3 linked regions of the Callithrix jacchus genome follow. The protein of the gene in region 2 purifies or fractionates together with the protein of the main gene of each other region. This does not show direct contact. Links are inferred from orthologs where the notes say so. Each region holds a gene or a part of one and is shown on either strand. Other genes may lie near its edges.

What was found. The genes of interacting proteins can lie anywhere in the genome.
Region 1: the proteins of POLR3B (region 2) and POLR2F purify together in Homo sapiens (affinity purification with mass spectrometry; 5 studies listed by BioGRID and IntAct, with this or other methods). This does not show direct contact. The link is inferred for Callithrix jacchus from reciprocal best matches to the Homo sapiens genes POLR3B and POLR2F.
Region 3: the proteins of POLR3B (region 2) and UXT purify together in Homo sapiens (affinity purification with mass spectrometry; 3 studies listed by BioGRID and IntAct, counting the BioPlex papers as one, with this or other methods). This does not show direct contact. The link is inferred for Callithrix jacchus from reciprocal best matches to the Homo sapiens genes POLR3B and UXT.

Annotation. Positions count from the first base shown.
Region 1 is NC_133502.1:208,953,447-208,961,671, reverse strand, and holds the start of POLR2F (DNA-directed RNA polymerases I, II, and III subunit RPABC2), read right to left. Parts: upstream 5,304-8,225; 5' UTR 5,149-5,303; coding exon 5,087-5,148; intron 2,244-5,086; coding exon 2,174-2,243; intron 1,732-2,173; coding exon 1,601-1,731; intron 1-1,600. Other genes in the region: C1H22orf23 (UPF0193 protein EVG1), read left to right, coding at 6,109-6,208. UniProt on the Homo sapiens protein: DNA-dependent RNA polymerase catalyzes the transcription of DNA into RNA using the four ribonucleoside triphosphates as substrates.
Region 2 is NC_133510.1:109,297,424-109,305,581, reverse strand, and holds part of POLR3B (DNA-directed RNA polymerase III subunit RPC2), read right to left. Parts: intron 6,675-8,158; coding exon 6,513-6,674; intron 3,596-6,512; coding exon 3,395-3,595; intron 1,558-3,394; coding exon 1,395-1,557; intron 170-1,394; coding exon 16-169; intron 1-15. UniProt on the Homo sapiens protein: Catalytic core component of RNA polymerase III (Pol III), a DNA-dependent RNA polymerase which synthesizes small non-coding RNAs using the four ribonucleoside triphosphates as substrates.
Region 3 is NC_133524.1:48,731,991-48,740,248, forward strand, and holds the start of UXT (protein UXT), read right to left. Parts: upstream 5,071-8,258; 5' UTR 5,008-5,070; coding exon 4,978-5,007; intron 1-4,977. UniProt on the Homo sapiens protein: Involved in gene transcription regulation. Acts in concert with the corepressor URI1 to regulate androgen receptor AR-mediated transcription. Together with URI1, associates with chromatin to the NKX3-1 promoter region.

The DNA.
Region 1 (8,225 bases), on a different chromosome or scaffold from region 2:
TTGGGGGGAAAAGCAGGCATCTGTGGCCCCACCTCTTTGAAAGTCCCTGCATTCTCAAAGCCATCTGCTGGGAGAGGGTGCTTCCAGTGTATTCTCTACTCTGCCCCAAACCTCAGTAGTCATCTGAAGGCCTGCACTGCCTATGGCTAACTCATCTGCACTCACTGGACACTTGGATCTCCACCTGTCTACTCTATCTCCTGAATCTTTATTCTCCCAGCCATGAGAGAGAAAGTTTACTGATTTTCAAATCCCCAAAACCCCACCACTACTCTGTGCTTTCATCTCTCCAGTGTGCTCTCAAGCTGGAGGGCCCCCAGTCTGCTGGGCTGGCCACAGTCTACCTCACATCAAGAACCACCTTAGCTGGGGGCGGTGGCTCATGCCTATAATCCCAGCACTTCGGGAGGCCAAGGCGGGTGGATCATGAGGTCAAGAGAAGAGACCATCCTGGTCAACAAGGTGAAATCCCATCTCTACTAAAAATACAAAAATTAGCTGGGCATGGTGGTACGCGCCTGTAATCCCAGCTACTCGGGAGGCTGAGGCAGGAGAATTGCTTGAACCCAGAAGGCGGAGGTTGTGGTAAGCCGAGATCGTGCCATTGCACTCCAGTCTGGGTAACAACAGCGAAACTCCATCTCAAAAAAAAAACCACCTTAAAGCCAGGAGTGGTTGCTCATGCTTGTAATCTCAGTTCCAGCACTTTGGGAGGCTGAGGCAGGAGAATCACTTGAGGCTGAGTTCAAGACCAGCCTGGGCAACACAGTAAGACCCCCATCTCTACAAAAAAATACAAAGCCAGGCATAGTGACACACATCTGCAGTCCCAGCTTGAAGCCACTTGGGAGGCTGAGTCAAGAAAGTCGCTTGAGCCCAGGAGTTTGAGGCTGCAATGGGCTATGATCAGGCCACTGTGCTCCAGTATGAGCAACAGAGTGAGGCCTCGACTAGGAAAATAAAGCAAAAAGAACCACCATGGCCAGGCCCCGTGGCTCTCACCCGTAATCCCGGAGCTTTGGGAGGCAGAGGCAGGCAGATCACTTGAAGCTGGGAGTTCAAGACGAGCCAAGGCAACATGCCGAGACCCCATCTCTACTAAAAATGCAACAATTAGGCTTGGTGGCATATGCCTGCAATCTCAGCTACCTGGGAGGCTGAGGCATGAGAATCACTTGAACCTGGGAGGCAGAGGTTGCAGTAAGCTGAGATTGTGCCGCTGCACTCCAGCCTGGGCGACTCAGCAACATTCTATCTCAAAAAACAAACAAAAAAAAAACACGGGTACACATTGACTCTGACTTCACGCTTTTTCTGCTTCACTAATCTGCTGGGCAACCATCCAGTTCTGATTTTTGTATCATTTTTCTCCCATACTGTTACCTGACTTCTCAGATGTTCAAGTCCTAGTTCTCCTATTAGATCACAAGCTCCCTGAGGGCAGGGGCCTAGCACAATGCCTGGTACACAGGGACAGCACCACCTTTGGAATGTGAGAGTGGAGAGTCTACGTTCAGGTGCTGGGCTGGGCAAGATCAGTGGCTCAGGAGCTCACTATGGTCTGAGAGATGCAGAGGACAGTGAAGGGGCCATCACTCACGCAATCTGGAGAGCTCGGGTGCCCAGCACGCGGGCTCGCTCGTACTTGGTCATGTATGGTGTAGTGATTCGCTTCTGGTTGGCCTGTGGTCGCTCCCCAGAGGGAAGGATCTCAACATTCTCTTGGCCTTCCTGGACAAGATAAAAAAGAGAGAAAATCTCAGGTGGCATTTTTGGGTTACAGGGAGGGTGATAATGACAACAATCATAATCACCGCTCCTGCCACCATTAATGCTCACTGCATGCCAGGGGACCAGGTGACTGCTTCCTAATACCTCATGTCCCTTACAATAACCTTATGAGGCAGGAAGGTGCTGTTTAACTTGTCAGTGAACTAACTGCCCCAGAAGCCACTGGCTGCGGACCACATGGACAAAAGCTTTCAGGCCTAGCCCACAGGGCTGTTCTGCTGTGCAAGACTGGAACACAGCTCACTCTAACTGGGAATGCTTACGCCAGCGGGTAGGGGGCCCTGAACACAAACAGAAGGCAGATACATTCAGGTTACTGTCACCTGCCAGACTGTTTGGCAGCTTGGGCTGCAGAGGTGGGAGCCTGAGGCTGAATACTGACCTCTTCGGCATTCTCCAAGTCATCTAGCCCTTCATCCTCTTCCACGTCATCAAAGTCGTCACCATCAAAACTGTACAGGAAGAATAAATCAGTTAGTTAGAGCATCACTTACCAGAAACAAAGAGGGGCCGACCATGGTGGCTCACACCTGTAATCTTGGTACTTTGGGGGATGGAAATGGGTGGATCACTTGAGGCCAGGAGTTTGAGACCAGCCTAGCCAACATGGTGAAACCCCATCTCTACTAAGAATAGAAAAATTAGCTGGGCATGGTGGCCCATGCCTGTAATACCAGCTACTCAGGAGGCTGAGGCACGAGAATTGTTTGAACCCAGAAGGCGGAGGTTGCAGTGACCCAAGATCGTACCACTGCACTCCAGCCTGGGTAAAAGAACAAGAACCTGTCTCAAAAAAAAAAAAAAAAATCAATAAGTGCAAAGATATATGTCTCGCCCACTATATAGGAAGCACTCAATAAATATCTACTTAATAAGGATCAGCCGGGCATGGTGGCTCACACCTATAACCCCAGCACTTTGGGAGGCTGAGGCAGGTGGATCACTTGAGGTCAAGAGTTCGAGACCAGCCTAGCCAACATGGAAAAATCCCATCTCTGCTAAAAATACCAAAAATGGGCTGGGCGCGGTAGCTCAAGCCTGTAATCCCAGCACTTTGGGAGGCCAAGGTGGGTGGATCACGAAGTCAAGAGATCGAGACCATCCTGGTCAACATGGTGAAACCCCGTCTCTACTAAAAAAATACAAAAAATTAGCTGGGCATAGTGGCGGGTGCCTGTAATCCCAGCTACTCAGGAGGCTGCGGCAGGAGAATTGCCTGAACCCAGAAGGCGGAGGTTGCAGTGAGCCGAGATCTCGCCATTGCACTCCAGCCTGGGTAACAAGAGCGAAACTCCGTCTCAAAAAAAAAAAAACAAAACAAAACAAAAATGAGCCAGGTGTGGTTGGTGCCTGTAATGCCAGCTACTCAGGAGGCTGAGGCACGAGAATCACTTGAACCTGGGAGGCAGAGCTTGCAATGAGCTGAGGTCACACCATTGCACTCCAACTTGGGCAACAGAGTGACACTCCTTCTCAAAATAATAATAATAATAAGTAAATCAGACTTTTGTTCCATTTTACTCCTTCAATCTTTCCCCATCTGCCCCCAGATTTTGTTAGGACTCATTCATCATCGCTGTTTGCCTCTCTACTGGATCATTCTCATCAGCCTTTTTTTTATTTTTTTTTTAAGACAGAGTCTTACTCTGTCACCCAAGCTGGAGTGAAGTGGCGCAATCTCGGCTCACTGCAACCTCCGCCTCCTGGGTTCAAGCAATCCTCCTGTCTCAGCCCCCCGCGTAGCTGGGATTACAGGCATACACCACCATGCCCAGGTAATTTTTGTTTTGAGACGGAGTTTCGCTCTTGTTACCCAGTCTGGAGTGTAATGGTGCGATCTCGGCTCACTGCAACCTCCACCTCCTGGGTTCAGGCAATTCTCCTGCCTCAGCCCCCCGCGTAGCTGGGATTACAGGCATACACCACCATGCCCAGCTAATTTTTTGTATTTTTAGTAGAGACGGGGTTTCACCATGTTGACCAGGATGGTCTCCATCTCTTGACCTCGTGATCCACCTGCCTCAGCCTCCCAAAGTGCTGGGATTACAGGCTTGAGCCACCGCACCCGGCCAATTTTTGTATTTTTAGTAACGAAAGGGTTTCACCATGTTGACCAAGCTGGTCTTGAACTCCTAACCTCAGGTGATCCACCCTCCTTGGCCTCCCAAAGTGTTGGGATTAAAGGTGTGAGCCACCACTCGGCCCATCAGTATTTCAACATGTGCTTTTCCTCAACTAAAAAAAAAAAAAAAAACCCTTCCTTCTCTTCTCCCTCCCCCTACAGCCCTAATTCCATAGTGCCCTTTGAAGCAAAAATAAGTGAAAGAGCTGTCCCTCACTGTCTACAATTCCTCTCTTCCCATCCTGTCATAATCCCACTCCAAAAAGCCTTTCACACCAAGAGCTCCATCAAAACCCCTCTTCCCAAGTTCATTAATGATCTCCACGTTGCTAAATCCAATGGCCAATTCTCAATCTCATTTAGCCTGATCTACCAGCTGACACATTAGGCCACTCGCTCTCCTCACTTGACTCCAACGACACCTCACTCTCTTGGTGTTCCCCCACCTCCCTGGCTTCTCTTTTCCTCCAAGCACTCAACGTTTGAATGCCCGAACGCTCAGCCACGGGTCATCTCCTTTTCTCTACTGACACTGAGAATGTTGTAGCAATCCCACACGTTTCTTATTTTTATCTTCACACTAAATCTCTTTGTGCCCACACATCCAACAGGTAATTTTTTTGGCTCTACTTTTAAAATAATAATATATCCAGAATTCAAAACCACTTCTCACCACCTCTGCTCCTACCACCCTACCACAAGCTACTGACTTTCACCTAGATTACTGCAACCAGGCCGGGCACAGTGGCTCACACCTGTAATCCCAGCACTTTGGGAAGCTGAGACGGGTGGATCACTTGAGGTCAGGAGTTCGAGACCAGTCTGGCCAGCATGGTGAAACCCCATCTCTGCTAAAAACAAAACAGCCAGATGTGGTGGCACATGCCTGTAATCCCAGCTACTCGGGAGGCTGAGGCAAGAGAATCCCTCCTTGAACCTGGGCGGCAGAGGCTGCAGTGAGCTGAGATCGCGCCACTGCACTACAGAGCCTGGGCGACAGAGCAAGACTCCGTCTAAAAAAAAAATAAAAATAAGATTACTGCAACCAACCCTTCCAGACTTGTATTTAATGCCACCGGTGGAGCTGCCCCAGACCCTTCTCTGGAGAACTCCTATATTACATACTTCTAGAACTGGAGAAGCTCACGCGACTCCCATGACCTGTTTACTTACTTATGGGCCTGTGCCCCCTGTTCTAGAAAGCGAGCACGTGGAGGGCAGGGACGATTCCTCATTCACCTCAATATTCCCATGACACAGAGCCCGGCTCACCGAAAGACACCTTTCCTACGGATCCTATCCGGACCCTCGAGCCAGGAGCTTCCCGTGCCCGGTCTCCGGTCGGGCCGATGCTCCTGGGTCCCCGCCCTTTCCTTCCCCGGCACCGCCTGCCCCCTCAGGCCGCCAATCCCCTCAGACGTTGCCCCTCGACGCCAGGCTCCTCAGCCGCCTTCGACCCACGCCTTGCCTCATCTGCCCCTTCTGAGGTTGCCGCAAAGGCCACTTGGCTCTCGCACTCACTTGTCCTCGTTGTCTGACATGACACCCTAGTCTCTGCGACGCCGCTGCTCCCCAGTGCCGCGCGGAGACCCGCAAACGGCTCCACTACGACTCGCGCGGCGCCACGATTATCCTGCGCTTGCGCGGTAACCCAGAGGCATCACTTCCGGGAGGCAGGACGGCGCGAGAGAGAAAGGGCGCATGCGTTGACTCGTGGGCGCGTTACCATGGTAGCCACGGTAGCCACAGTTGTTAGTTGCCAGCTCTAGCAGCCCAGATCGCGTAGGATTTCTACGTGGCACCGGTGCGGCTGCGGCTGTAAAGCAGTGGTCACCGCCTCCGAGAGCTCACCTCTATGTGGAGAAGGGAGCACCCAGAGGAGGTCTTAGGGTGAAATTTCAATTTTGGCATATCTCTCAGTGGGTACTGTTCTGATCTGGCTATGTTAACACTGCCTTCCTCCCGAGGGGACTTCCCTGCCACAGGCGCTGGGTCAGAATGAGGACTCTGTGTGTGTATCTGTCTGTGTCCGGATGGGAGGTTTGGGCACTGTCTCGATATTAAATGGCGGCATCACGATTCTCTGGCTGGATCCCCGCTTCCAGACTTCTAGGGTGGTGGGCGTGGGGAAGAGGAAATTAGGGATAGGAGACAGAGGGTGTGTCTTTGCATCCTTCCCTCCTCAGGGTCCTTGCATGGCTTCACAGAAGATAGAAGTAGTGACCAAAGCAACGGGGTTCCGGCGCCGCCCCAAGAAGACCACTTACACCCCGGGGACCTGCGAGCTGCTCGAAGGTCAGTGCTTTAAAGCAGCGATCCCCAGCCTTTTTGGCACCAGGGACCGCTGTCGTGGAAGACAAGAACGGTTTCGGGATGAAACTGTTCCACCTCAGATCATCAGGCATTCCTTAGATTCTCATAAGGAGCCTGCAACCTAGATCCCACGCGTGCGCAGTTCACAATAGGGTTCACGCTCCTATGAGAATCTAAGGCTGCCACTGACCTGAAAGGAGGCGGTGACGCTCGCTAGCCCGCTGCTCACCTCCTGCTGTGCGGCCCTGTTCCTAACAGGCCAGGGACTGGTGTCAGTCCAGGAACGGGGGACGGGGCAGGTGGGGGACGGGTGGAAACCCGAGTTAAAGGATGAGAAAAGAATGATGGTAGTTACCCTCTGTAACTCAGTTCTCCCCTACCTGACCTGTGGCTTAGCAATTATTGCTATTTTCCTTTACAGATAAGGAGCCTGGGGTTCAGGAAGCTTCCAAGTTCTACTGCATATACCTTAGTGGGCAGGAGCGGGGGAGGGAGGGAAGGTTCAAGGTGCTACAGCTTGCCAAAAGTCAACTAACATTTTTAGAGTAATTAATTCCTATGCATGCTTTAGATCACACTTTCAACTTTCCCGGGAAGACCTGTCTCCTCCTTACCACCACAGTAGGCTCGACTGTTGTGTGCCCGCACACATTTTCCTTCACTGGGCTCAGTCACTTGGTGTCCCATCTATCCCTCTTTCATCAGCAGGAATCGTGTCTGTTTCAACTCACGACTGTACCTCCAGCCTCTGAAACGTGATGAACAAGTGTTCATGTGTTCTTTTACTCAACCACGTTTTGCTTTTTGAGACAGAGTCTCACTCTGTCACCCAGGCTCGAGTGCAGTGGCGCGATCTCATCTCACTGCAACCTCCGCCTCCCAGGTTCAAGGGATTCTCCTGCCTCAACCTCCCAAGTAGCTGGGATTGCAGGAACACACCACCATGCCCAGCTTTTTTTTTTTTTTTTTTTTTTTGTATTTTTAGTAGAGATGGATGGGGTTTCACCATGTTGGCCAGGATGGTCTCGATCTCCTGACCTCGTGATCTGCTCACCTCAGCCTCCCAAAGTGTTGGGATTACAGGTGTGAGCCACCGCACCTGGCCAACATTTTCTTATGTTTGAAACACAGTTTTGCTCGTTACCCAGGCTGGAGTGCAGTGATGCCATCTCGGCTCACCACAACCTCTGCCTCCCAGGTTCAAGCGATTCTCGTGCCTCAGCCTCCCGAATAGCTGGGATTACAGGCATGTGCCACCGCGCCTGGCTAATTTTGTATTTTTAGTAGAGACAGGGTTTCTCCATGTTGGTCAGGCTGGTCTCAAACTCCTGACCTCAGATGATTCGCCCGCCTCAGCCTCCCGAATAGCTGGGATTACAGGCATGAGCCACCGTGCCCCACCAACAACAACATGTTTAACTCTTTAATGTGCCTTAGACTCTGTTTTAGGTGCTGGGGATACCACAGTGAAAAAAGAAAAAGAAGAAAAAATATTTGTTAACAGAGGGCAGAAATTTTATTAAACCAGCAAAAATTCTTATCATGAGCTAAATAGAAAGATAAATAATAAAATAAAATATATAGAATTTTAGGTGGTGATAAGTGCTGTAGAAAAAACGAAGCAGGGGCTGGGCATGGTGTAATCCCAGCACTTTGGGAGGCTGGGGCGGGTGGATCACGTGATCAAGAGATCGAGGCCATCCTGGCCAACATGGTGAAACCTCTGTCTCTACTAAAAATACAAAAATTAGCTGGACATGGTGGCGCACACCTGTAGTCTCAGCTACTTGGGAGGCTGAGGCAGGAGAATCGCTTAAACCTGGCAGGCGGAGGTTGCGGTGAGCCGAGACTGCGCCATTGCACTCCAGCCTAGTGACACAGCGAGACTCCGTCTCAAAAAAAAAAAAGGAAAGAAAAAGTAAAAACTAAGCAGGAAAGGCATTGAGGATAGAGAAGGCATGCTCAGTGCAGAATGGGGCTAGGATGTCAGGTGAAGACA
Region 2 (8,158 bases):
TTTAGTAACATATACCTGCACAGTCTTCCTCCATCAGAAGAAATATAGACACATCGATCTGTAAGATTTGTTGAGATGGAAACAAATTCATTGATATATCCTGCTCTTCTCATCAGTCGAAATGTATTCACTAGCTTTTTATGGTCTCTAATGACACCCAAGATGTTACCTGAGCAAAAAGAAAGACTAGGTAAGTCAGAAATAAAAAATAAATCCATCCTGATTTAATATATTCAACCAATAAAAACAATAAGCAGCACTAAGCAGTCATTTGAAAATACTGTTAACACCTGCAACCAGTCCAAGGGGTTGCAGGGAAGCAATGAAGGAAGAATGGTTAAGGGCCAGTCCTTCCACATGCTGGCCAAGGAATACTGGAAAAGCTAGCTCTATTTTCCTCAACTGTCAGCACAGTGCTGGGAGCATGAACTTGGTGCCCAAAACCATCTGGGTTTGAACATTGTCCATCACTTTCATAGGCTGGTAGTAAAGATTGAACAAGCTGATCATTTAAAGTACTGAGAATTCTGCCTATTACCTACTGCTATTATTAAACTGCGCTTGTTTAATCATCATCTGTGAAATAAGGAAAATGAACTTTGCCTCCAAAGATTAGTGGGAGGATTCAAAGAGGTACTGGGTAAAAGTGCAGAGTGAAGGCTCATGCAGTGTTAGCCTCTGGGATACAATGAACGAGGCAGTAGGTTAACAGCTCTGCTGAGGCTCTGACCCCTTTCTCACCAGCCCATATGAAAAAGAGTTAATGTCTCTCAGAGTCAGAGGAAGGGGGAGAGGAAGAGAGAACAGACAAGGGATAAGGGATAAGCTCATGGAGCTTACTAGTGAGAGGACAGGCACACAGAGCAGCAAATCAAAAGCAGAAAGGAAGAGAATACACTTGCTGCTAAGGCTGAAAGACTTTGAAGGAGGCAGGAAGAGGTATATGAAAGAAGTAACTGGAGTGTGAGCCAAGGAGAGGGACCCTCTTACCACAGGCTGCTGACATACTGATGATCAGACAGCTAAACAGTCAATTCACTGTAAGAGTTGATCTGATAATTTTTGCAGAGTGACTCCAATATTTAACTTGCACTTAAAGATACCATGTTGAACTTATTCCATTATGGATAAGCCAGCAACTGCAAAAGGGCAGAAAGCAGCCACTCTCTGCAATGTTACCCTTTAGCTCTAACAGCTATATCCTCTCAGAACCTTGGACAACCCAGCCAATAAAGTAACTGTTTCTGTTACCATTGCTTTTTCTACTTTTAGGTGAAGGTCAACTTGGACCCAGAATTAAAGTGTATTTGTGCTTTAAATATCAGGATAATAATGGATTCCCTCCCCCTCTTTACAGACTATCCAGGATCAACACGTCTCTATAATATACTCACCATTAAGAAAGACAAGAAACACATTTGGGTAAGAGAGCTCTTCCCCACATAATAAATTCACATCTTCTACTCCCAAATTACTGGCTAATTTAACAATAGGTCCATCTTCCATATCAGTTGTGATGTGTGTCATAAGGGCCAGGTTTTTAACCAAGCCACATGCCTAAAAAACAAAAGATAGCCATTTCTAAGAACGAACATTAGTAATACAAAGTACAGTTTGCATTTGAAAATAGCTCACTACTTTGCTGGCAGCAATGCAAAGTGGTACAACTTTGTAGGGGACACTTTGGTGATTCACACAAATGCCTTTAAAAAATATATATCCTTTAACTCAGAGGAATTTATCTTCATAACAAGCAAGGATATAAAATAGATTTAGCTACAGAAATGCTCAGCACAGTACTATTTGTAATTATAAATGGTGACGTGCCCAACAAGTTGATTATATTAACAATTACTCCCAGACAATGGAACATTACAGTCATTATGACATTGTATAAAATAAGTAAAGGAAAACATTAATAAAGGCAGCTACATAAAAATATAAAACTTCTGGCCTGAAATGAGAGACTATAAAATAACTGGCCAGTATCCTAAAGTTTCTTGGTCATGAAAGGTAAATAAAGAAAGACTGAAAAATACATTCAGATTAAAAGAGACAAGGAGACATGACACCTAAAAACAATGTGTGATTCTGCACCAGAAAGAAGACAACAGTGGGACAACTGGCAAAATCTGAATAAGATCCATAGATTACAGTATTGTTCAGTCTCATGAGGTTAATAACAGTGTTATGGTTATGTAAGATGTTCACAGTTGGGAATCTAGATGAAGGATTGTGGAAAATCTTCATACTAGTTTTGTAAGTTTTTTGTACATCTAAAATTATTTCAAAATGAAAAGGAGATAAGTGGTTTTAAACTTCTATACATTCCGCAAAGTTCTAAAACAAAAATACCAACAAGGACAGAATACAGTGAATAGAAAAAAATACTTAAAGACAGATGATTTGTAAGATTTTATCTACAAGTCTTAAAATCATCTGCTGCAGTAATGCACAAAATAGCTACTTTGCTGAAGTTAGCTGAAACAATTTCTGGGAAATGAAATGTTTCAAAGTTTAAGATATATAAATTATAAAAAATTTGACAAACTGCATAATTTAGTGTCAATTTCCATATGGTTTAAGATAAATTAGAAGAATAATTTATAAAAACCACAACTCTACACAGACTCCTATTTTCATCTCTTCCAAATAATAACAAATCCCTACACTTTGGAATCTACATCTTTTACTTGTCATAACTTAAGTTATTAATTCAGCATATGTTCATGGGGCCTCTACTCTAACCAAGCCTCTGTGTTAGGAGCTTGAGATACAATGGTGAACCTCCCTTCTTCCAGATTTTACAACTTAGAAGGAATAAAATCAAGTGAAACTAACAATATTAACACAAAGGAGAAAGGACCATGACACAGAGAATAGCGGGTGGTATAGAAGTAAACCAATGTAAACTCCCTGGCTTGGTGTTTAGGCAATTGCTTGTGTTTCCAATATAAGTGAGTTAGAATCCACATTAGGTAATGGACTGTATACTCCTAATTGGCTGTGACTGAGCCCACCTAAGGACAATAAGGAGCTGCTCAAAAAGAGCTTCTCATGAGCATGAGAGATGATAGGTCTTTCAATCTGCCTTCACAGTCTTATTCCTTCTGTGCATGGTTTGATTTTGGGATAAACTAAAATAAGCAAGAGAAACATGGACTGTATTACTTTTAGCTAACTTACTGAATCAAATGCTTCTGCAGGTCCTAGTTTTAGAATGACACTAAGGCAGTCTTCCAAGCATGTCAATATTTCTTTGCCAGATAAATGGCAGACCAAAAAAGGATATGGCCTGGGAGATAGGAACAGAAAGGGACCACACCCACCCCACACTATGCACAGACATAGGTATCACTTCTGACACAGCATCAAGACTCCTCAGATTCCTTACCTCTCCTTCAGGAGTGTCTGAAGGACAGAGCATTCCCCACTGAGACGGCTGGAGGGAGCGAGGACCACTCACTTTTCTTGTTTTTTCAAACTGGGAAGAGATTCTTGTCATCATGCCCAGTGCAGATATATATGACAAGCGAGACAGCACTTGGGTCACACCCTGGCGGTCCATTTTAAATCTCTTTAGAGACCAGTTTCCCTGTAGGGAGATGAAAGACACAACACTATTCCTAATCCAATCCTATGTTGTCTGATACTGTGCAGTAACTACAGGAAGTTCATTACAGGAATTTCATGCTTTCGAAATTAGAACCATGCACATATTCAGAAATCAAAGCATCACAATTAAAATGAAAACTTAGTCAAGTCATTCACTGGGGATTTCTAGGAAGATAATGAACATTACTATGTCTAGCAACCATCTCAGAAGTGTCTGATGCATCAACCTTACTATATCAGAGCAGTCACCTTCTGAGGAACTAATTCTATACTGAAAAGCCAGTTCGACCAGAGATTTCCATGGGAAGTCATAAACTAACTGATAAAACACCAGCAACAAAGAGATCATTTCATGTTGGAATGTGCGATTATTTGGATGTTTTCCAAAGTTACTCTTAAGAATAGCAAAATGTAGCAACAGAAAAATAACTCTGATAGCACTTATTTGGGATAATGAACAAACTGATGGCTTCCTAATCAAGGTTTAAGGAATCTAAAAATAGTATATATATTCATATTAAGAAATATATATTCTCTGTGGCCACTGTATCATTATTAAAATAGATTCATATGAAATAAATCCTGAATAATAAATTTACTTTATCTTCTTATGCATTAAATGTTATATTATTTTAAACATATTATTTTATAATTGTATATATTGAAAATATCCTCAAGGAGAACTTACAGATTAAGGTCAAAAATTTTTCAAATGTAAATTCATAGTAACATGAATTAATAGTAGAAAACAGTATTCATCAAAAAAGCAACACAGGTTGAGTGTGGTGGCTCACGCCTATAATCCCAGCACTTTGGGAGGCTGAGGTGGGCAGATCACTTGAGGTCAGGAGTCTGAGATTAACCTGCCAATGTGGCAAAACCTCGTCTCTACTAAAAATACAAAAACTAGCTGGGTGTGGTGGCACATGTCTGTGCTCCCAGCTACTTGGGAGGCTGAGGTGGGAGGATCAATTGAGCCCAAAAGGCAGGCAGAGGCTGTAGGGAGCTGAGATTGCACCACTGTACTCCAGCCTGGAGGTAAGACCCTGTCTCAGTTAAAAAAAAAAAAGCAAAGCAGACAATAATATGTGAACAGAATTGTTGACTCAAGTTTTCTAGTTCCAAAAAGAACAACTGCACCTGCCATGGTTCTCCATTCCTCCTCAGAGGACCCAATCAAAGCTAGGAGTGTTCTCTTGAGAAAAATGCACATAGAAACAAGAACAAAAATTTAATATTCATTTTGGACTCTTGTGGATTCCAGATTAAAAACCCTTGTAGCAGAAAAATTGCTAGGGTTTCAGGAAACGATTAGGTGATCTTTTGCATTAAAATATGTAACTTTGGGGGAGCTCCCTCACAAATTAAAGTTTGCTCACTATTACAGTCAAGATTGATCACTTTGGAACCTTAAGTTTCTGAAATGTGGAAAAGAGCTAAGCTCTAAGAAACTCTATTATAAGGCAAATAAACAGAGCAACCATATATATTCCACAAATTAACCTCTCATATTATTACTTATTTCATTAACTCCTTTTATCCTCGGAGGGAGAATGAATCTAGTAAACTGACTTATGCCCAGAGAGTAAGAGTAAATAAGGTAAATAAGTATTCAGCACACAGCTAAAATAAGGCAGCAGCTGTTGGCAAGTAGCAAGTAGATGGGAGTAAAGCCAAGATGTTCGGCAAGAGAATTTGTTCTTGTATTCTGCAGGAGTATTACAAAGGGGAGAGACGAGAAACACAAGAGGTCTAAAACTGGTCCTTTGGGGAAAACATATTTGGTAAAAGCATTCTGCTAATAGCAACTCAGAATTTTAAAGGTTGATCTTTTTCTGTTGCCTAGAGTGGGATACACCTGTAACTAGGCCTGCTACTGATTTTTGTAATAAGCAGTTCTGTCAGGGAGGTAAAGCAGTTTCATTTAGGGGAAAAAGAACTACTTAAAATAGCTCTTTTGACCTGAAAATCATGGGTGAAGAAGCAAGAAAAAGTAATTCTAAGAGAAGTGTGTTCAAGCACTCTTTGGAGGATTCTCTTCAAATATTCAGGATCCACCTCAGACAAGTTCGGACCACCAGAGTTTATATGCTTAAACAGGGACAAAGGCGTGGTTCACCTCAAATTTAGATATAGCTGTCATTGCAAGGGCCACTAAGACCCACTATAAAGTTCCAAAGTCAAGTATTGAAGCGAGTCTGCAATAATTCTTTCATCATTAAGGGAATCAACATGGCAGATTATATCATGCTTTGTTGGGGCAAAATCTCATCCATAAAACTAATTTTATGTCTGGCATACAAAACATGAACCAGACTTCATCAGATAGACCTATAGTTGTCATGCTTTAAGAAAGGGAGCAAAAACCCATCTGATAACCTTTTATGAATAGCCTGAGACCCTGACTACACAGCAGCTGCCGAGAGCTGAATTCATCCAGAACTAAATTCATTGCTTATGTGAGGAACAGCTGATAGGTCTTTGAAGAATATAAAACTCCTGTGAAATGAAACGTTTTGTATTATTTTGGACAAAAGGTTGCTAACTAAGAAACCTGTCTGAAATGTGTCAATTTTACTACAGAAGTAAAAGAGGAAAGTTTTCTTTAAAAGAATGGTTATTAACAGTTAAATGAAGATTTTTCCGCTACGCATCAGTATCTATTTTCTTATTGCCTCATATAACAGAAACTATAATTTCGCAGGAAAGTTATAAATAAGAAAATTCCTATTGATGACACTTCAGACTTTCTTTCAAAGTAAAAATGTGTGCTTTGTAAACATTCCTTTTAATATATATATATTTCACCTGGATTCTCCAAGTGCTTTACGTTTCCATTCCATTGAACAGACTTCCAGGTAAATTAGAAAATGCTGAAAGAGTGACTGGAGACTTACAGTAGAAATAGCGTTCACCATGCCATTGGTGATCTGGTCTTGGCGCATGTGTTTTACAACATCAAACTGGGCTGCTCTCTGCTTAGGAATCACCTGGTCAGCAATCTTTTTCATTTCAGAATTAAATTTTTTGAACAAGTCTTCAAAAAGAAGAGATAAAAGCTAAAAAAATAAAAGGTATATGGTGATTTTTCAAAAAGCATTGCTAAATTATTTTAATAAACTTTAGGTCTTAAGAGTTTAAAAAAATAAGATGGAGAAACTGCTTAAAACAGAAAAAATAGGTATTCTCAAATTCAGTTTAATAGATATGTACATAATTTTCTACGTGCTTAACACTGTGCTAGGTATTTAAACGAAAGCAAAGATGATATCATCACTGCATTCAAAGCTGTTTCATCTAGACCAGTCCTTCCAGACTTTTAGATTTCATTGACCAATGACCTAATTTTTAATTTTACAGATAAAGTTATACATTAAAACTAAAAAGGATGTAGAGAGAAGAATTACCATGAAAAACTCTGAAGATAGCCAAGAGGTTTCCTGTATCATTGGTAAAGATGTAAATTGGCACAATCACTTAGAAAACAGTTTGCCATTATCTGCCCATCCCTATGCCCCAACAGTTCCTCTCCTAGGTATACCTACTATAGGAGTGGTTCTCAAACTTTAGCATTTGCAGTAATCACTCCAGGGGATTAAAACAGAAACTGCAGGCCCTACTCTTACAATTTCTATCTCAGTAGGTCTAAGGTAGTGCCCACAAATGTGAATGTCTAATCAGCTCCCAGGAGATGCCAGTGCTGCGGGCAGGAGGAGGGCACTCAAGAAGCTTATTTATATTAGCTATTTGTAGCAGCTAAAATCTGGAAACCATACAAATAATATGTAGACAAGTTCTGGTATACTCATACAATGAAACAATATGAAACAATGAAAATGAACAAAAAATAACCACAAAATCATGGCTGAGTATTAAAAACAAATACTCAGCAAAAGAAACCAGACATAAAACAACATATATATGACATGATTCCATTTATATAAAGTTCAAAGCCCAGCCCAACTACATTATATTGTTTAGGAAGGTACAATTAAGTGGTTAAACTTTAAAGAAAGTTAGGATGCAATATAATGTAAAAGAAGGAATCAGTTAAATTTTAAGGACTTCTTAAAGGCCAAATGTGGACTGCCACACAAGTTCTGAATTCTTCTAAAGCCCCGGCACAGGAAGTGTCCACACCCACTCAAAGTTCCTCTCTGTGGAGTGCTCATGAAAGGCTGCAGTGAGGCAAAAGACCTGAGAAAGACCCCTTTGCTGGAACACAAGCAATAAAACCCTACCTATTTCCCCAGGCTTTCTTGCATAGGAAGTAACACCTAAGTCCCTGGGAAGGGGAAGGATACCCTCCTGCCTAGCAAAGTCCCAGCAGACAAAAATAACCTGCTCTCAGAGGCAAAACTCTGTACCAAATCCTCCCTGCTCTCCCAACAAGCTCTGTACCTACAGTAACGAGCAACAACAGTCTACCCCTGGAAGAAGACCAGCCAAACCCTCTGATTCCAGGAAAAGGTACAATGCCAGAGGGAAGAGAAGGGAGAAGCATCTTACCCTAGGGTAGGAGCAGGAAAACTTGTTGGGCAAA
Region 3 (8,258 bases), on a different chromosome or scaffold from region 2:
TTAATGGGATGGATATATTATTCCCCATGATGTGCTTATTTCACATTGCATGCCTGTATCAAAATACCTTACGTGCCCTATAAATATATACACCTACTATATACCCACACAAATTTAAAAAATAAAAAAAATTAAAACTAAAAACTAAAAACATAAAGTGGCAGTTCCCCCAGCATTTTCAACTCATATCTCTCCCTATCACATCCCTTCGTTAGCAGTTATCACCTTTATAATTTACTCTTTGAAAATGCTTACTGCCTCTATTCCCTAGTAGGATGTTAACTCCATGAAGTTAGGGATTTGGGGGCTGTTTTGTTGCACTAAACATCAAGTACCTGATGGTCAATTCACCAAGTATTTAAGTTATAAGTTCTCCACCTCTTTGGTATCTCATGCATTACTTATCTTATCAGATTAATTTTATTATAGTAGTCATTTCATCCAGAGATGCCTGCGGAGTCTTTTGGGGGAATCATTAATGTTTCAAGAAAATGACTCTGATGTATGTGTTTTGCTGCCCTCTACATTGTAAAGATACTAGAAATATCTGTCCCTTATATATATATATTCATCCATATATACGTGTGGGAGTTTATTAAGTAGTATTAACTCACATGATCACAGGGTCCCACAATAGATCGTCTGCAAGCTGAGGGGCAAGGAAGCCAGCCCGAGTCCCAAAGCTGAAGAACTTGGAGTCCAATGTTCGAGGGTAGGAAGCATCCAGCATGGGAGAAAGATGTAGGCTGGGAGGCTAAGCCAGTCTAGCCTCTTCACATTTTTCTGCCTGCTTTATATCCTGGCTGTGCTGGCAGCTGATTAGATGGTACTCACCCAGATTGAGGATGGCTCTGCCTTCCCCAGCACACTGACTCAAATGTTTATCTCCTTTGGCAACACCCTCACAGACACACCCAGGATCGATACTTTGCATCCTTCAATCCAATCAAGTATTAACCATCACATTATCTAACATTTTAATTTTCCCAATTGATTTAAATATTTAGTTACTTTAAATAATATAATTAGCTATGATCGTGCCACTGCACATCAGCCTGGGCGACAGAATGAGACTCTGTCTCTAAAATGAATGAATGAATGAATATATGCACCTACCACCCCCCAAAAAAGGTATGAACTTGATGATAACCTCCATCTATCCATGTAGTCCCCCAATTCGTTGCCTTGCCCCCACCCTCAACTGAGGTAAATATCATCCTGAATCCCAAGTTTATTGTTTTTAAATTTCTTCTTAATGTAATTTGATTGCAACTACACAAAATCCTAAATAGTTCATATCCTTTATATTAGCAGCTTTTTTTTTTAAGAGACAGGGTCTTGCTCTGTCACCGAGGTCGGAGTGCAGTGGCACTGTCATAGCTCACTGCAGCCTTGAACCCCTGGGCTCAAGGGATCCTCCCACCTCAGCTTCCCAAGTAACTGGGATTACAGGTACACACCACCACACCTGGCAAATGTTTAAAATTTTTGTAGGGATGGGGATCTCACTTTGTTGCCCAGGGTGGTCTTGAACTCCTCTCTTCAAGAGATCATCCCACCGCGACCTCCCAAAGTGCTGGGATTACAGGCATAAGCCACTGCGCCCAGCCTATAGTAGTAGCTTTTAAGTTTATAAAAAGTGTGTTATGCTTTACATAATCTTTTGGGATTATAGTTCCTCCTCCTTAATATTCATCCATACTGTTGGGTGTTGTTCTAGTTCATTCATTATGACTCCTGTTGATGAGCATCCATTTATGTTTCCAGGTTTTGCTGTTGTGAACAGGATGCCATGCTGGTATGGTTTGAATATTTGTCCCCTCCAAAACTCATGTTGGAATTTAATTCCCAATGTAGCAGTATTGAGAGGTGGGGCCTTTAAGAGGTGAGTGGGTGTTGAGGTCTCTGTCCTGCCCTCATGAATGGATTAATCCACTAATGGGTTAACCCCTTAATGGGTTAGTAGATTAATGAGTTAAATGATTAATGGCTTATCATGGGAGTGGAACTAGTGGCTTTATAAAAACAGGAAGAGAGACCTGAGCTAGCATGCTCGGTCCCTTCACTGTGTGATACCCTGTGCTACGTTGGGACTCTGCAGAGAGTCCCTACCAGCAAGAAGGCCCTCACCAGTTGCAGCCCTTCAACCTTGGACTTCTCAGCCTCCATAACTGTAAGAAATAAATTGTTTTTGTTTAGAAATTACCCAGTTTCAGGTATTCTGTTGTAAGCAACAGAAAACAGACTAAGAAACAGGCATATCCTAGGTTTCTTGTGCAAGTGTCTCTCTTGGATACATTCATGAGAGTGGACTCACTGGACTGTAAGGTATGTATGTATTCACTGTAGGAGAAAATGCGAAAATATTTTCTAAAGTGTTTGCAATGATTTACATTCCTTCAGCAGGGCAAGAAGATCCTGTTGGCCTACATACTCTCCAACTGTTGGTACTGTCAGACTTTTACGTTTTTGCAATTTGAATGGGTTTAAAATACCATTTTATTACGTCTTGACTTGTATTTTCCTAATGACTTTGAACATCTCTTTATATGCTGGCTCTACATTTCCTTCTTCTCTGAAGTGGTCTAACAGAGCTTTTTTTTTTTTTTTTTTGGTACTATTATGACATCCAAGAAAACTAACAATGATTCTTGGCACTCTATTAGAAGTGTATGCATGCCAAATATGTTTCCACGGATTCAATTTCTTCTTTCATTTATTCATTCAACAAACATTTGCCCAGACCAGGGATGCAGGGGCAGAATGACAAGCTGGGATAATCAAAGTTCAACTGCTATGATTCGAATGTTTGTCTCCTCTGAAACTCACATTGAAATTGCCATTGTAACAGCATTAGGAGGTGGGGCTTTTAAAAAGTGAATAGGCCATGGAGGCTCCACTCTCATAAACTGATTAATGCTGTCATTAAGGGAGTGAGTTAGTTACCAAGAGTAACTAACTCAAGAGTGGGTTGTTATAAAGTGAGCCCAGGCCCTTGTGCTCTTTGTTCATATGCTTCCTTGCCCTCTCGTCCTCTGCCATGGAATAATGCAGCAAGAAGGATGCTGGCACTATGCTGGACTTCCCAATCTCCAGAACTATGAGCCAAATAAGCTTCTTTTCTTTATAAATTACCCAATCTGTGGTATTCTCCTATAGAAGCAGAACATGGACGAAGACACCAATTGTCTAAGAAAATAAAAATGAAATCAGACTATAAAAATGTGCCCTGCCATTCACCAGAATGGAAGAACAGACACATATAAAGCCAAATGCAAAATTCACAGGAAACATTATTTCTTCTAAGGACATGCTGCAGTTTTAATGCCATAAAGAACCCCTACTTTAGGTGACTATTGCTTCCTTAGTCATGGAGACACTTTGTTCTCTACAATCATAGACTATCAGAAATTGCTGTTTGAAATTACATCAGTAAGAGTGAAACATCAGACTCTTGAGATTCCAAGTCACTTCCGGAGAAGCAACATTCAATTTTCAACTCAGGTGCAGAGCTTTAGGCAAGAGTTATCTGGGGACACAAAATTCTACAACTAAATTGTTTCCAAGGAAACAGCACTCTGGGTTCACTTCACAGTCCAGACCTGACATTGACCCTTTACATAGAGGGTCAATTTACACATTGGAGGTGATAAGGGGCAGCAAACTGGTGGAAGGGTAGAAGCAGAGCCTTGTATTAAAGCTACATTTCCAAAGCAAGGGCATCATGACTATATAGATTTGACTTCATGAGGAAATAAAAATAATAACTGCTTTGAGCCCACTAAAACATTGCTTCATTTCAATTTCATCTCAACTCCACTATTCCTCAAAATCATGTAAGAAGTCTCTTTTCCTTTGCTTAGTGAGCTGCCCATGGTGCCCCTGGTATGCAGTCTCCCTTATTGATTGATGGATCTGTCTGACCAAGAATTAGTTTGAGGCTAATTGGACTAGGACACCTCTAACCTTCGAGATTGTTAAACCGAGGACCAGAGGGGATAAGACTGGATGGAGAACCCCTAGCCAGTCCACACTTCAGCCTACACCGGGTCCTCTCACAGAAAGGCTTTCAGCAGGGCATACAGGCTTCTAGCTCTGTCAGGAAGATTCCCTGGAGAGGAGATACTTGAACTTGGTTTTGAAGGATGAATAGACATTCTTAGGTGGAGGACTGCACGACTTCTTCCCCTTCTGCTCTAGTGACATCTCCCACAGGGCAGGGACATCTCCAGAATTTACACATTGGAGGTGATAAGGGGCAGCAAACTGGTGGAAGGGTAGAAGCAGAGCCTTGTATTAAAGCTACATTTCCAAAGCAAGGGCATCATGACTATATAGATTTGACTTCATGAGGAAATAAAGATAATAACTTTTCCTAAAGATTTTTATTGACATACTGCGTTAGACTAAAGACATATTCAAAATTATCAGTACTGGTACACAGTCCCTTTTTAGTTAGGGTAGATGGAGTGGGAGATCAGGTAGATTGTTGGAGCATTAAAACCCCGCATCCAAGACCCACAGGCACAGCAGGAGGGAGAACCCCGCACTCCGAGTTCTCCCCTTTTCCCACCTCATGGCATATCCTAGGAAGGCTTGCACAACCCTGATTTCTCCTCCTCCTTCCCTTGTGGTATGTCCTAGGAGAAGCCTGTAGTCAACGTGACATCTCCCCGCTTCTCATCCTGTGGTATCTGCCAGGAGATAGCCGCGGCCGCCCCTGATTCTTTCCAAGAGGCCCTTCAGTTTCTCTGAACGGTATCGAACGGACCCATAGACTACAGATCCAAAGACCCCTCCTCCAGTAAGCCCGCCCAGAGAAACGTCCCCACCCGTGCTTCCCGCCATCAGCGGGACAGCTCCACCTCCCTGCTCTGTGAGTTTAGAGGTGTCCTCATCCTCAATACGGAATGGACACTACTCCAACATGGTGTACCCCATGGGGAAGCGCGACTTGGGCGCGGCCATGTTCCCTACCTGAACACGTCGCGGAGGGGCACCGAACATCCCAAACCCCTCACTTCCGTAATTTCTCCATGTTAACTCCTGGCTATTAGCGGCTTCAAACGTGGTTTTGCGCACGCGCGGACCCCCCTTTCCCTCACTCATGCGAAGTCCCAAACCCCGAAAAAGGGCGGTGCTAGGGGTAGTGACCGGAAGCGGCTGCGGTTCTCGCCGGTTCTCAGCCGGGGTTACATAGTTGTCAGGAGGATTCGACGTTCAGTGCCCAGGGATGTGGAGGTGATGGGGGACCGGGGTGGGTGAGTGCTAGGCGATTCTGTGTGGTCAGTGATGGAATCGTTTGTCTAACTTGAGTTGGATGATTCGCTCATCGTTTTTCAGGCTTTTCTCTTTTCTAATGTCACCCTTAAGGTCTTAAAGTTCATTCTAAGCCCCATTGGGTTTGGAGCATTGTTTTTTAAGAGTGTTAACTCGTATTCATTTGTCTTTTACTGAGGAGTTATTCAAAAGTGGGGTTTTCAGTGTGCAAAAGTTTCTTTGTAATGGATCTGTAACCTTAGTTTTCTGTGTTAGAAAAACACCTACGTGGAGCTCATTCCTTGAAATACAAGGAGACTTACGGCCTAGTGCGTAGTGCATTTTTAGAAACGTTCTGTATATACTTGAAAATAATATTTAATTATTTAGTGGTCAATTGTGTCATATAAAGTCTGTCCTTTTTTGTCTATTTCTTCTTTTACTTCAGGAGAGAGAAATTCTCCACTGTGATGGTAATTTGTCCGTGTCTCCTTACTGCTGTCTGTGATCCACTGTGAGTTACTTTTTGTATGAAGTATGAGACTTAGGTCGAGGTGCATTAACTTGCTTATGGATGTCCAGACTCAAGCACTATTTGTTGAAAAGACTATCTTTCCTCCATTGACTTGTCTTACCATTGTCAAAAATAAGTTGGCCATACTTATGTGTGGGCTCTTTCTGGGTTTGCGATTCAGTTCCATTGTCTATGTGTCTATCCCTCTGCCAGTACTACCATGCTGTCTTGAATTGGATAGAGTGATTCCTCGCACTTTATTCTTTTTCAAAAGTGTTTTAATGCCTCTGTTTCCTTTGCCTTTCCCATACACATTTTAGAAAATCTTGTCTCTATCTACAAAGCATCTTGCTTGGATTTTGATAGGAATTGCATTAAACATGTTTACCAACTCGGAAAGAAGTTAAGTTTTAACTGTGACAAATCTTCCAATCCATGTATATAGTATGTCTCTGTTTATTTAAATCTTTAAAAATTTCTGTCAATGGTATATTGTAATTTTTATCACACAAGTTCTGTACACGTCTTATTTAAATTTATACCTAAGTGTTTAATTTTTTTGGAGTGGTCGTAAATGGTGTTCTCTTTTAAGTTGCTGCTTATATATAGGAATACAATTGAGTTTTGTCTGTTGGTCTTGTATCCTGCAGTCTTGCTGAGCTCAGTTATTAGGTTTTACACCTTTTTTGGTAGATTCCTTTGGTTTTCTCCATGGGCAATTGTGTCATATACAAACAGGGATAGTTTTATTTCTTTCTTTCCAATCTCTGTACCTCTGCTTTTCTTCCTTTGTTACACTGGCAAGAAGTTCCAGTACTATGTTGAATAAGAGTGGTGAAAGTGGACATCTTTGCATTGTTTTCAGTCTTAGGGGTAACATATTCAGCCTTTTACCATTAAGTATGATTTTAGCTGTAGGGCTTTCCTTTTTTGGACCCTCTTTTTTGATTTGAGGAAGTTCCCCTCTATTCCTAATTTGCAGGTAGTTTTTATCATGAATGGGTGTTGAATTTCATCAACATCATCTGAATTTTTATGATCTTGTGATTTTTTTTTCTTTTTTAGCTTGCCAATATGGAGGGTTACACTGATTGATTTTTGAATATTAAACTAGCCTTACATTCCTGAAATAAACCCTACTTGGTTGTGATACATAATTCTTCGGATATATTGCAGGAATTGATTAGCTAATGCTTTTTTTAAGCATTTTTGCATCTAAGTTCATGGGAAATATTGGTCTATAGTTTTCTTTTTTATACTATCTTTGTCTGGTTTTATTTTGTATTTTTTGAGACAGAATCTCACTGTTGCTCAGGCTGGAGTGCAGTGGTGTGATCACAGCTCACTGCCAGGCTCAAGTGATCCTTGCAACTCAGCCTCCTGAGTAGCTGGAACTGCAGGCACACACCACCACACCCAGCTAATTTTATTATTTTTTTGTGAACAGTGTCTCATTATGTTGCCCAGGCTGGTCTCAATCTCTTGGGCTCGAGCAGTCCTCCTGCCTCAGCCTCCCAAAGTGCTGGGATTACAGGTGTTAGCCACTGCTCTTGGCCTTGTTTGGCTTTAGTTTTAGGGTAATACTGGCCTCATTGAATGAGTTGGGGACTATTTTCTCCTCTTCTACTTCTTTTTTTTTTGAGATGGCGTCTCGCTCTGTCGCCAGGCTGGAGTGCGGCGGTGCAGTCTCAGCTCACTGCAACCTCTGCCTCCCAGGCTCAAGTGATTCTCCTGCTTCAGCCTCCCGAATAGCTGGGACTATAGGTGCACACCACTACGCCCAGCTAATTTTTTATTTTTAGTATAGATGGGGTTTTACCATGTTGACCAGTATGGTCTCGATCTCTTGACCTCATGATCCACCCTTCTCGACCTCCCAAAGTGCTGGGATTGCAGGCGTGAGCCACTGTGCCTGGCCTTCTCTTCTATTTTCCGGAAGAGATTGTGTGGAATGAGTACTAATTTTTATTTAAATCCTTAAATGTTTGGTAGACTTCTCCATTGAAGCCATCTGGGCCTGAAAACTTTCGTTTGGAAGCTTTTTGATCATGGCTTCAATATCTGTAATAGTTATGTAACTATTCAGATGATCTATTTAATACCATTTTAGACTATTATATATAGTATATATAATATATATATTTAGACTAGTAATATTATTCTTTAGTAATAAAAGTAATAAAATTTATTACTTAGCAATAATACATAGTAACAAAATTATTTAGTAATAATATTCTATTGTATATATATGGCAAATTTTGTTTGTCTGTTCATCAGTTAATGGATGTATGGATTATTTCTACTTTTTGGCTATTATGAATAATGATGGTGTGAATATTTGTGTATAATTGGAATGCACGTATGTTTTCGTTTCTCTTGCATAGACATGGTCTCCTAATCAAATGGAAGATTTGGGTTTTGATTTGTATTTTCCTAATGACTAATGTTGATGATAATTATCTTATGTTATTCCTAATCTACACAC